2 linked regions of the Danio rerio genome follow. The protein of the gene in region 2 binds, or shares a complex with, the protein of the main gene of each other region. Links are inferred from orthologs where the notes say so. Each region holds a gene or a part of one and is shown on either strand. Other genes may lie near its edges.

The links.
Region 1: emc2 (region 2) and emc9 share a complex: the UniProt entries of both Homo sapiens proteins name them as parts of the ER membrane protein complex. The link is inferred for Danio rerio from reciprocal best matches to the Homo sapiens genes EMC2 and EMC9.

Annotation. Positions count from the first base shown.
Region 1 is NC_133187.1:13,888,528-13,893,111, reverse strand, and holds the start of emc9 (ER membrane protein complex subunit 9), read left to right. Parts: upstream 1-1,652; 5' UTR 1,653-1,800; intron 1,801-3,863; exon of another isoform or gene 3,864-3,888; coding exon 3,889-4,083; intron 4,084-4,584. Other genes in the region: psme2 (proteasome activator complex subunit 2), read right to left, coding at 149-194, 287-373, 542-604, 699-731, 1,038-1,085. UniProt on the Homo sapiens protein: Part of the endoplasmic reticulum membrane protein complex (EMC) that enables the energy-independent insertion into endoplasmic reticulum membranes of newly synthesized membrane proteins.
Region 2 is NC_133191.1:43,065,338-43,069,678, forward strand, and holds the start of emc2 (ER membrane protein complex subunit 2), read left to right. Parts: upstream 1-1,319; 5' UTR 1,320-1,345; coding exon 1,346-1,385; intron 1,386-4,341. UniProt on the Homo sapiens protein: Part of the endoplasmic reticulum membrane protein complex (EMC) that enables the energy-independent insertion into endoplasmic reticulum membranes of newly synthesized membrane proteins.

The sequences.
Region 1 (4,584 bases), on a different chromosome or scaffold from region 2:
CATTTATCTTACACGTACATCACTGGTAGTTACTATTATTCCACTACTAAAAATAGTTTTTACTTCCTGTGGTTCAAACATGCTGAAAAGTAATAGTTGGAGAAATTGTGAAACCCGTCACGTATGTGTGTGTGTGTGTACACATTACCTTTCTTCTTTTTCTCATCATCTTCATTTTTATCTGTCTCCATCTCCTATTGAAATATTTTACATACATATTGTCATAATTAATATTTGTAATATTAATTCAGAAAGCATAATTATCAATATTGAGCTGCATGCCAACCTCGTCCTCTGGGGCAGGGGGATCAGGAATGGGTATGTCCAGGGGTGCATGGAGAGATGAGAGGTCAGTGATACTAAACTCATCGCCCTAAAATCATAAAGAAATATTTTAATTCAGTTGTTGCTGAATTCAAGCTAAAACAACTCTGTTGAGCTGGAACAGGGTAATGATGAGTTCATTTAAAGACACATATAGCCTAGTGTTTATTAGCATGTAGTCACATCTGCCAAATAATCAAATGTTCGCAAAATATACCTTCAGCAGGTTGTCAAGGTGTGAGATCTTCAATGGTATGTAATTGGAGAACAGGTCTTCTGCCTGTCAACAAAAGAACTATCAGTCAACACAAACAACAGTGCAGCAACAAGACTGAATGCAGCCTATGTTTGGATTATCTGAAGTAAACTCATACCTGCTTATACAGTGACTGGCGGTAGTTTTCTATCTGGATGAAGATAAGACAAACGTTCAATTACAATTCATTTATCTTAGAAATTATTTTTCTACAAGCATCGCGCTTCAGGTAAAGTTACTTTCACTTTCACTGTCAATGAGGAAGTGTGACTCAGGATTTTTGTAACATATAAATTGAGATATTAAGCAGTTGTTACGTTCGATAACATCCATACATTCGACAAAAAGACCTTTAAAACGTCTTACAGGTTCCATACTCAATGCACAGCTTAAACAAACGGTTTTTACTTCGAGTTTGTAAACGGAGATTATATAAAGATTATAAAGATGAACTTACCCTCACTGCATTATCAGAGTTTAGCTTCAGTACATTAGCTTTAGACATAATGAAAGCAATTTGTCTTAATAAGCGAAGCAGGTCGCAAGCAGAGAGACGCAGACGTTTAGATGACAAATTTCCCTTCGCGATACTTTCGATTTCTAAACGACGCCCACTGGGTTCACGTCAGGACTCTGGGTAAGTACCGGTGAACTACCAAAAATATGCATTTCCATATTACTGTCGAAAATGTTACAACACCCATTTCTATCTGTTTTTATTTAATACAGAAATATGACAATTTTATAAGAAATAAGGAATCGTCATTCAACCAATGCCTTGATAATTAACACAAATAGCAATTAATAGCTTAAACGTTATGTTTATGTAAAAGCAGAGACAGAACACAAGATAAAGAGAAAAAATAAAATTAAAATTGAGCGCCACAAAATCCTAATGGAATATGTCCCAAACTATGCACTATTATTAATTATTATAATTATTATTCATATAGATTATTGTTATAATGGCTTCTCCTTTTCCTCAAGCACGGTCGTTTTGGGGAAAAATCAAGCCCTGCAGGCGGCAGTAATGCGTGATTTGTGCAAAAGCACGACCATGACGTCACGAAGAAGAAACAACGCCGCAGTCATCCTCAATGTCCGTTCGCTTTTATGAAGTGTTTATGAAGTAAACAGCAAAATATTTCTGTTTTAATTTGTTTGATTTAATCAGTGGATTTTTTTATTTGACTACTACAAAAGGGAAGAACAATATAAGGGTGAGTGTATTCTTACGAAGCTTTTATATGAGGAATAAAGCGTTTACTGCTAAATTAAATGTTGTCTTCGATTGACATAAAGAGCCTTGATTTGATTGCGTAGATTTTAGATTTTATTATGCCTTTTTTGTTGTGAATTCTTGGAATTTCTGCCAATTTTCTTTCATCCTCCATATAAAACGCTTGTCTAAGGGGGGTGTCTGGGATGCTGGAATTTATCCGTCGTCCTGGGCTGAATGCTGGGGAACATCCTGGTCAGATTGGCAGTCAATCTCAAGACTAACGATATATTGGACACATACACATTTCTACACACAAGCAATACTGTTTCAAATTAATCTAACCTTCACCTAGAGGAAACCCACTTCAACACAGGAAAAACATACAAAATTAACATAAACGGGCCTTTAAACGGGCAGTTGTTAAACTTGGCAAAAGATCTCCTTGATATCTAAAATAACGTGGTGTATTAGTTTTTGAGTAAATGTTTAACAAGCACCTGTTACTGTTAGTATCGGAAGAAAATATTTTCTTGACAGTTTAGACATACAAATCCAAATGACAAGTCTAAAATTAAACGTAAAACATTTTAAATAGTTAGTTTGAAGCTCTCAGCAAGAAAATGCAGGTTTTTAAAGAGCAGAGTGAAATAAAAAAGTAGTTCCACAAAAATAAAACACCAACATTGTCAGGATAAAGTTGCTAAAAAATAAAAGTTGTATTGTGTTTTCCCACTTTGCTTCAGTTGTTCAGACAACGATTCACAAAAACGACTCAAAGTCATATTATGGCTGTCATGTACATAAACATGCTGTCATAGGTTCCATAATTTGGGATTTAGTGTTGGCATGGTTTCATTTTCAAAACTGTAAATTGAAAGTGCATACATCAGCCGTTTTCCATTTAGCTGTTAACAGCCCTTTAGTAATTGCTCAAATTTGGCCTGTGTAATAATATTCTGATCTGTTTCAAACATTTAGCACATAAAAACACAAATACATAGAACTTCTAAAACAAAGTACATTATTGAAGGTTAGAGTAAAGGTTAAGTGGTAAAAAATAGTCATATATATATAGTCATATATATCATTTTTCATTAAAAAGAGTTAAACTACACAAATGTTGGGGGAATAAGAAAATGCTAAACTGAAAGTTTATTTATTTCCCCTTCAAATGTATATTCATTTCTAGAACATAGTTACTTTTCCTCATGTCAACATGCTAATAAGCGGGTGTCTATCTGTCAGAACTGAAGACAGTCAAAAAAAAAAACAAAAAAAGCAACATTTTTCTTACGATCAACCAATGATGGCATAAAGGCAGCCTTCTACTGATTGACAGACACCCTCTCATTGGCTTGTTTTAGGAAAAATACGCAACTGCGTTCAAGAATTAATAAACATTTGAAAGGAGGGAAAATAAACTTTTAGTTTGCAGTTTCTCATTTTCCCAACATTCATGTAATTTATTTAATATTTACCTGCCCACACTATTAATTCTTTAAATATTTATTTATGCAGGAGTTTATATTTTTTTACATACATTTATTTATTTATTTGCATATTTATTTATTTATTTAATGTTTAATTTATGCAGGAATTTATTTTAAATTTATTACAAATTTATTTACTCATTTATTTATATATTTGTGTATTTATTTATTTGTATGTTTCTATTATTTTATGACACAGTCCACACAATCAATCTCTGTATATTGGTGCAAGTTCATAGCTAATACAACCGGTATATAATGTTGATAGAACATCCATCTGTAAATATCACTATAGTTTTTTCTATAACTGCACTTTATAACTTATACTTGTATCCTGAACTTGCTGCTATTGCACTGCCTAAACTGGACCTAAGCTGCATTTTGTTGCATTGTACTTGTACATGTGTAATGACAGTAAAGTTGAATCTAATCTAATCTAAATGTAATGCACATAAAAACACTGACAAAAACTGTATTTACATGCAGAAAATTCCTATATTTATGTGGCTAATAGTACTTCACACTCTCCATTCATATAATTGTTTTTACTATTTTATTGATTTTTTTTTAGCTTTATCTTTTTTTTTTCTCCCAAGATGGGCGAGGTGGAGCTATCCTGTTTGGCTTATGCCAAGATGTATCTTCATGCCAGTCAGTTTCCACGCTGCAGTGTGAACGGCCTGCTGTTGTCGTCCAGTACAGCAGGGGGAGCCTTATGCATCACAGACTGTGTTCCGCTGCTCCACTCACACCTGTCTCTGGCTCCAATCACACAGCTAGCGCTTACACAGGTAACTATACTGTATTCCCAGTGGACATTGAATGTGCACACAGAGTTTCTTCATCTGCAATTGCATATGTTATTTGTAGGTTTGCTTAAAAACATGCCTTTTGACCAATACAAATGATCATTCACTGTATTAGGCATTTATTTACTAGACAACATTAGTTTTTCACTAGCTTTTGCAATTAATTTGGATACTCCTCATCTACTTATTTAAGAAAATAAACACATCTTTAAAAATATAGACCTCTTGCATATTTCAGGTACTGTTTTTTTACATTATTAGTCCTTGTATAGACACAGATAAAGAAACCAATATCTACAACTGTCTGAAAATACTTTCCCCAAAGCTTTTAAGTTGGTACCATGGTGCTGATTTACTAAACAGGGCAAATTGAGAGTGCAATCCCATTAAAGAAATGATAGCATTGAAAAATAGTGTGTGTGATCTACTGACCATTCATAAATTGGGTTTATGAATGCAGACCTTTTATTTTCAGTCAGCCAG
Region 2 (4,341 bases):
TCCACCACCTTTTAAAAACAGAGTAAAAGGTCCCCAAACTCTATCAAAAATTATATATCTATTTCTTATCATATAAGTTATTTTTTTTCCATTTTCATGTTTGTCACCATCTCTTTCAGCCAACAACCTATAGTTGGTGCACATGTACTTTTCCGATTTAAAGAAATAAGCCGTTTCGCTTGTAGAATGCATATATTCAAAAACATTTGCCCCATCTTTTTTAACTTGATCTCCTTGGGATATAAATGAAATAAAAAAATTAAAGGAGACATTGGTATAGAAACCTCAAGAATATTTTCTATAATTTCTTTCATACATTTCCAAAAGTTCTGTATTCCTTTACATTCCCATATACAGTGATACAACGTTCATTTTTGGTCCCTACATCTCAAGCAATTATCTGGAATATTTTCATTATATTTATGCAATAAAACTGGAGTTATATAAATCCTCATCAACCATTTATATTGTAACAGTTTTAGACGAGTGTTCATTGTTAGTGATTGAGCATCCAGTCCTCTGTAGAAATATCCTCCTCAAGATCTAATCTCCAAGCTACCAATTTACAATTTGAAGATTCCTTTGATGCTGACACCAGCATCTTGTATAATGCAGAAATTAAACCTTCACTAAAACAGTCTTTTGTTATTACGTTTTCCAAAATAAAGAATGATGGCATATCTAGAGAATTATTTTGTAATTTAAAGATAAAATCTCTCTATCTATTTGTAAATATTTAAAGAAATGTTTTGCAGGAATATTATATTTACTCACAATTTCCTAAAGCAACATTTATTGATGAAACCTGCAAAACAACAAATAAATAAATAATAAAAATATATATAAATTCACAAATTTAGTTATGTCATATTTATTTATTTGCATATTTATTTACTTATTGTTTTATTTATGCAAAAATGTATGGATTTACTTACTCATTTAAATATTTATCTGTGTGTTTATGTATTTATTTATTGTTTTTGCAGTTTTCGTCCTTCATAGGCTCTAGTATACTAATACACATTATAAATGGCTATGTTTTACATAAGCTTTCTTTTAATAATAATGTCCATATTAAAGCTCTTCTTTCTTTCTTTCTTTCTTTCTTTCTTTCTTTCTTTCTTTCTTTCTTTCTTTCTTTCTTTCTTTCTTTCTTTCTTTCTTTCTTTCTTTCTTTCTTTCTTTCTTTCTTTCTTTCTTTATTTCTCAATATAATATACCTGCATGAATAAATAAAAACCTCATTGGGTTTGGCTTTTGCCCTTCAATGACCCTTCTCACAGCGTTGACTGTCAACGTCACTGCCCTCCACCAATCCGTTCACAAGGGGCGGAGCTCAAAAAACATGTCGTCCATATCGGAGCTGTACGATGTCACTTGGGAAGGTAAATGACTTTATTTTCGTTAACAGCGCTTATTACGTGATTTACTTACAATATGTAGTGATTCAATAGTCACCAGAGTTCTAGATTTTGTAAAGGTTATCGCCTAAAGTTTCTTATTTGTTGTGCTTTTCATTAAAGACAAAATGCTAGCCAGTTAGCATATGTAGGCAGAGCTTAGTAACAGAACCTGTGTTTTTACGACTGTCGTTTACAAATATTACAATGTGTTTTGTATTTGAATGTCATGTTGTACATGTATAATGCTAAAAATGATTAATCTGTTGATGTCTGGTCTGTTTTCGGTAAAATGAGGATTTGCAAAGACCAGATATGCAATACTAATGTATCCCAAGTAATATTTGTATGTACAATCAATAAGAATGAGTCAGTTTACTTGATAAGATCCCCATCAGCATCATCATCTCCTGTTGTTTTTGTGATTAACCTGACAAAATCTAATATTTTAATTCAGTTCAATAATCTTCAGATTTAGATAATTTATCTTATTACACATTATCTTATTATACTGATATGATATTATCTATAAAACATGAACCTCTAGATGTGTGATAAAACTTTTGACAATAAGGCATATATAGGTTGATTGTCGTGAAAATAATATATTATCAAAATAAATAATAAATATTAATAAATATTATTAAAAATCAGATATTAGCTTTTCATTCTTACATTTTCCGGTCATGGAAAACTTTAACAAGTAGAAGTATACATTACAATTATTAATAATCAGTAAGTACACAAGATTTTTATGCCACATTTTGTTTGCTTGTTATTTTTTATTTACATGCGTATTTACATTAATTATAATTTATGCTGTTGAGGTAAAGTTGGTTTTATGTTCGCACATTCGTTCCGTGACAACTTCTGACACGCTCCCTATAGTGTTTACTAGGCTTGGATGATAACTGATTTCAAAGTTTACTGCAGTTTGGAAAAGTCAAGGTATTAAAACCGCAAAAATGTTTTGTTAAACTGTTTCTAATGTATACAAAGAGGGGTTTTAAGTGTTTTTAATCTGTTGTAAGGAAATCTGTGTTTTTGCTTATGAAGATAGTACAAATCAATGGTTTAATTGAATTTTGTAGCCTGACATGTTCACTGTTCCAAAATATAAATATTTCCTAAAATGTAATGTATTGTCTTAAATAGGGAAATTTTTTATTTTTTACTAAGACATTTAAAAAAATTATTTTAGAGCAGTAAACACAATACCCCAATACTGTGTGATAGATCCAAACTTACATTGGCCCATGCCTAGTGTTTACTGTTGTACTTTGTATATCCGGTCTGAAATTGCATGTAAGTATGACTTGAAAACAACATTAGCACTATTTATCTGCTTGTGAACAATGTTGTGCTTTGATAGTCATTGGCTGCTAATATGAGAAAGAAAACTTTTCTGAAATTATAATATTATTGAATCAGAATTGTCGTTGACCAGCAGCCAAAGACACATGCAATTTGTAGAATCACTGCAAAGTTTAACCATAATAGAGTGAAAGTTTATTATTTGCATGTGTTTTGAGGAGAGTTTAAAACATTTGGGCACCAGAAATGTATTATGTTTGGAGGTATAACAAAAAAAATACTGTATTTAATTATATGATTTATGCACAAAAGCTTAAAAAATCATTGTTGTCTTGTTTCTATTCAAAATTGCATGTAAGTATGACTTAAAAAAAACACCACTAGCACTAATAATAATTCCTAAAGTTATATCAGGGCTCAACAATAAAGACTGCCCAATGAGAGACTCTCAGGACAAGGTGCTACAATATTGTTCTAAGCAGACAATAAAACAAACAAAACAATTAGGAACATACTGTACATTGTTTACAAAATAATATTTTATAATAGGATGTTTGGGATGTTTGGAATCAGCACTAATATGTATTGCTCTCCTCATGACCGCCTTTTCCCATAGAGTCTGTATGGGCTCGTATTGTTTTATTCCTACGATTTTCATGGCTGTTTTTCAGTAGACAGAATTGTTGTTACCTGCCTGATTAGGCCAGTGCTGCGTTGTCACAAAATTTTAACTTGCCTGTGATTACGAAAATCAAGAACCAATAAACAGGTTGTGCTTTTAAGCCTTTGAATTATACCTTTACTGTGAAGTCATAAACACCATATTGCTTTTCGGTTTCTTTTATCTGATAGGATATTTTGAGCATGTTTATTTTTCCGTAACCTGGTAAAAACCACTAAAGACATAGACGTGTATTTTACAAGCTAAACGTATTATTGCTCTTAATTGGAAAAATATAAATGAACCTTGAATAGGAAAGTGGATTAAAGAAATAGCATCGCATATGTCAATGCAAAAGATCACATACATTTTCAAAAAGAAAGAAAATGTGTTTGTAGATATCTGGAGACCTTTTAATAACCTCCTGAAGTACAATTTAAATGTTGGCGCTTGGCAGTCTGCTACAACAAGAACAAGCTTAGGAATATAGGGAGTAACACGGTCTAAACATAGACACAGGAAACAATCTTTACCTCATTTAAACCTATCCCTTTTTTTTTGCTCTTGTTTATTTATTTATTTATTTTTTTAAAGGGGAATGGGTCAATGGGAGGGAGAATAGGGAGTAACAAGTTTGTTGTATCTTCATGATTGTTATTCTGTAATTGTAAAATCTGTTGTGATATGCAAATTGAAAAAAATAATAAATATATTGTACAAAAAAATAAATAAAATAAAACACTACAGTGAAGAGATGCCAACATCAAATTATCAGGCTAAAAGAAAAAGTTTGTTCCTAACGTCTTGGAAACAGACATTTTAGTGGGTAAAGCACGACAAAAAACAAAAAAAAAACAAATGAAGTGATGTTTTGCACAGCTTGCCGTAAGTTTGGGAAGTCAACCACCTTTTGTTTTGCAATCAAATACCTGTACATTTTCTATACTGTCATTTTTTACTGCTAAA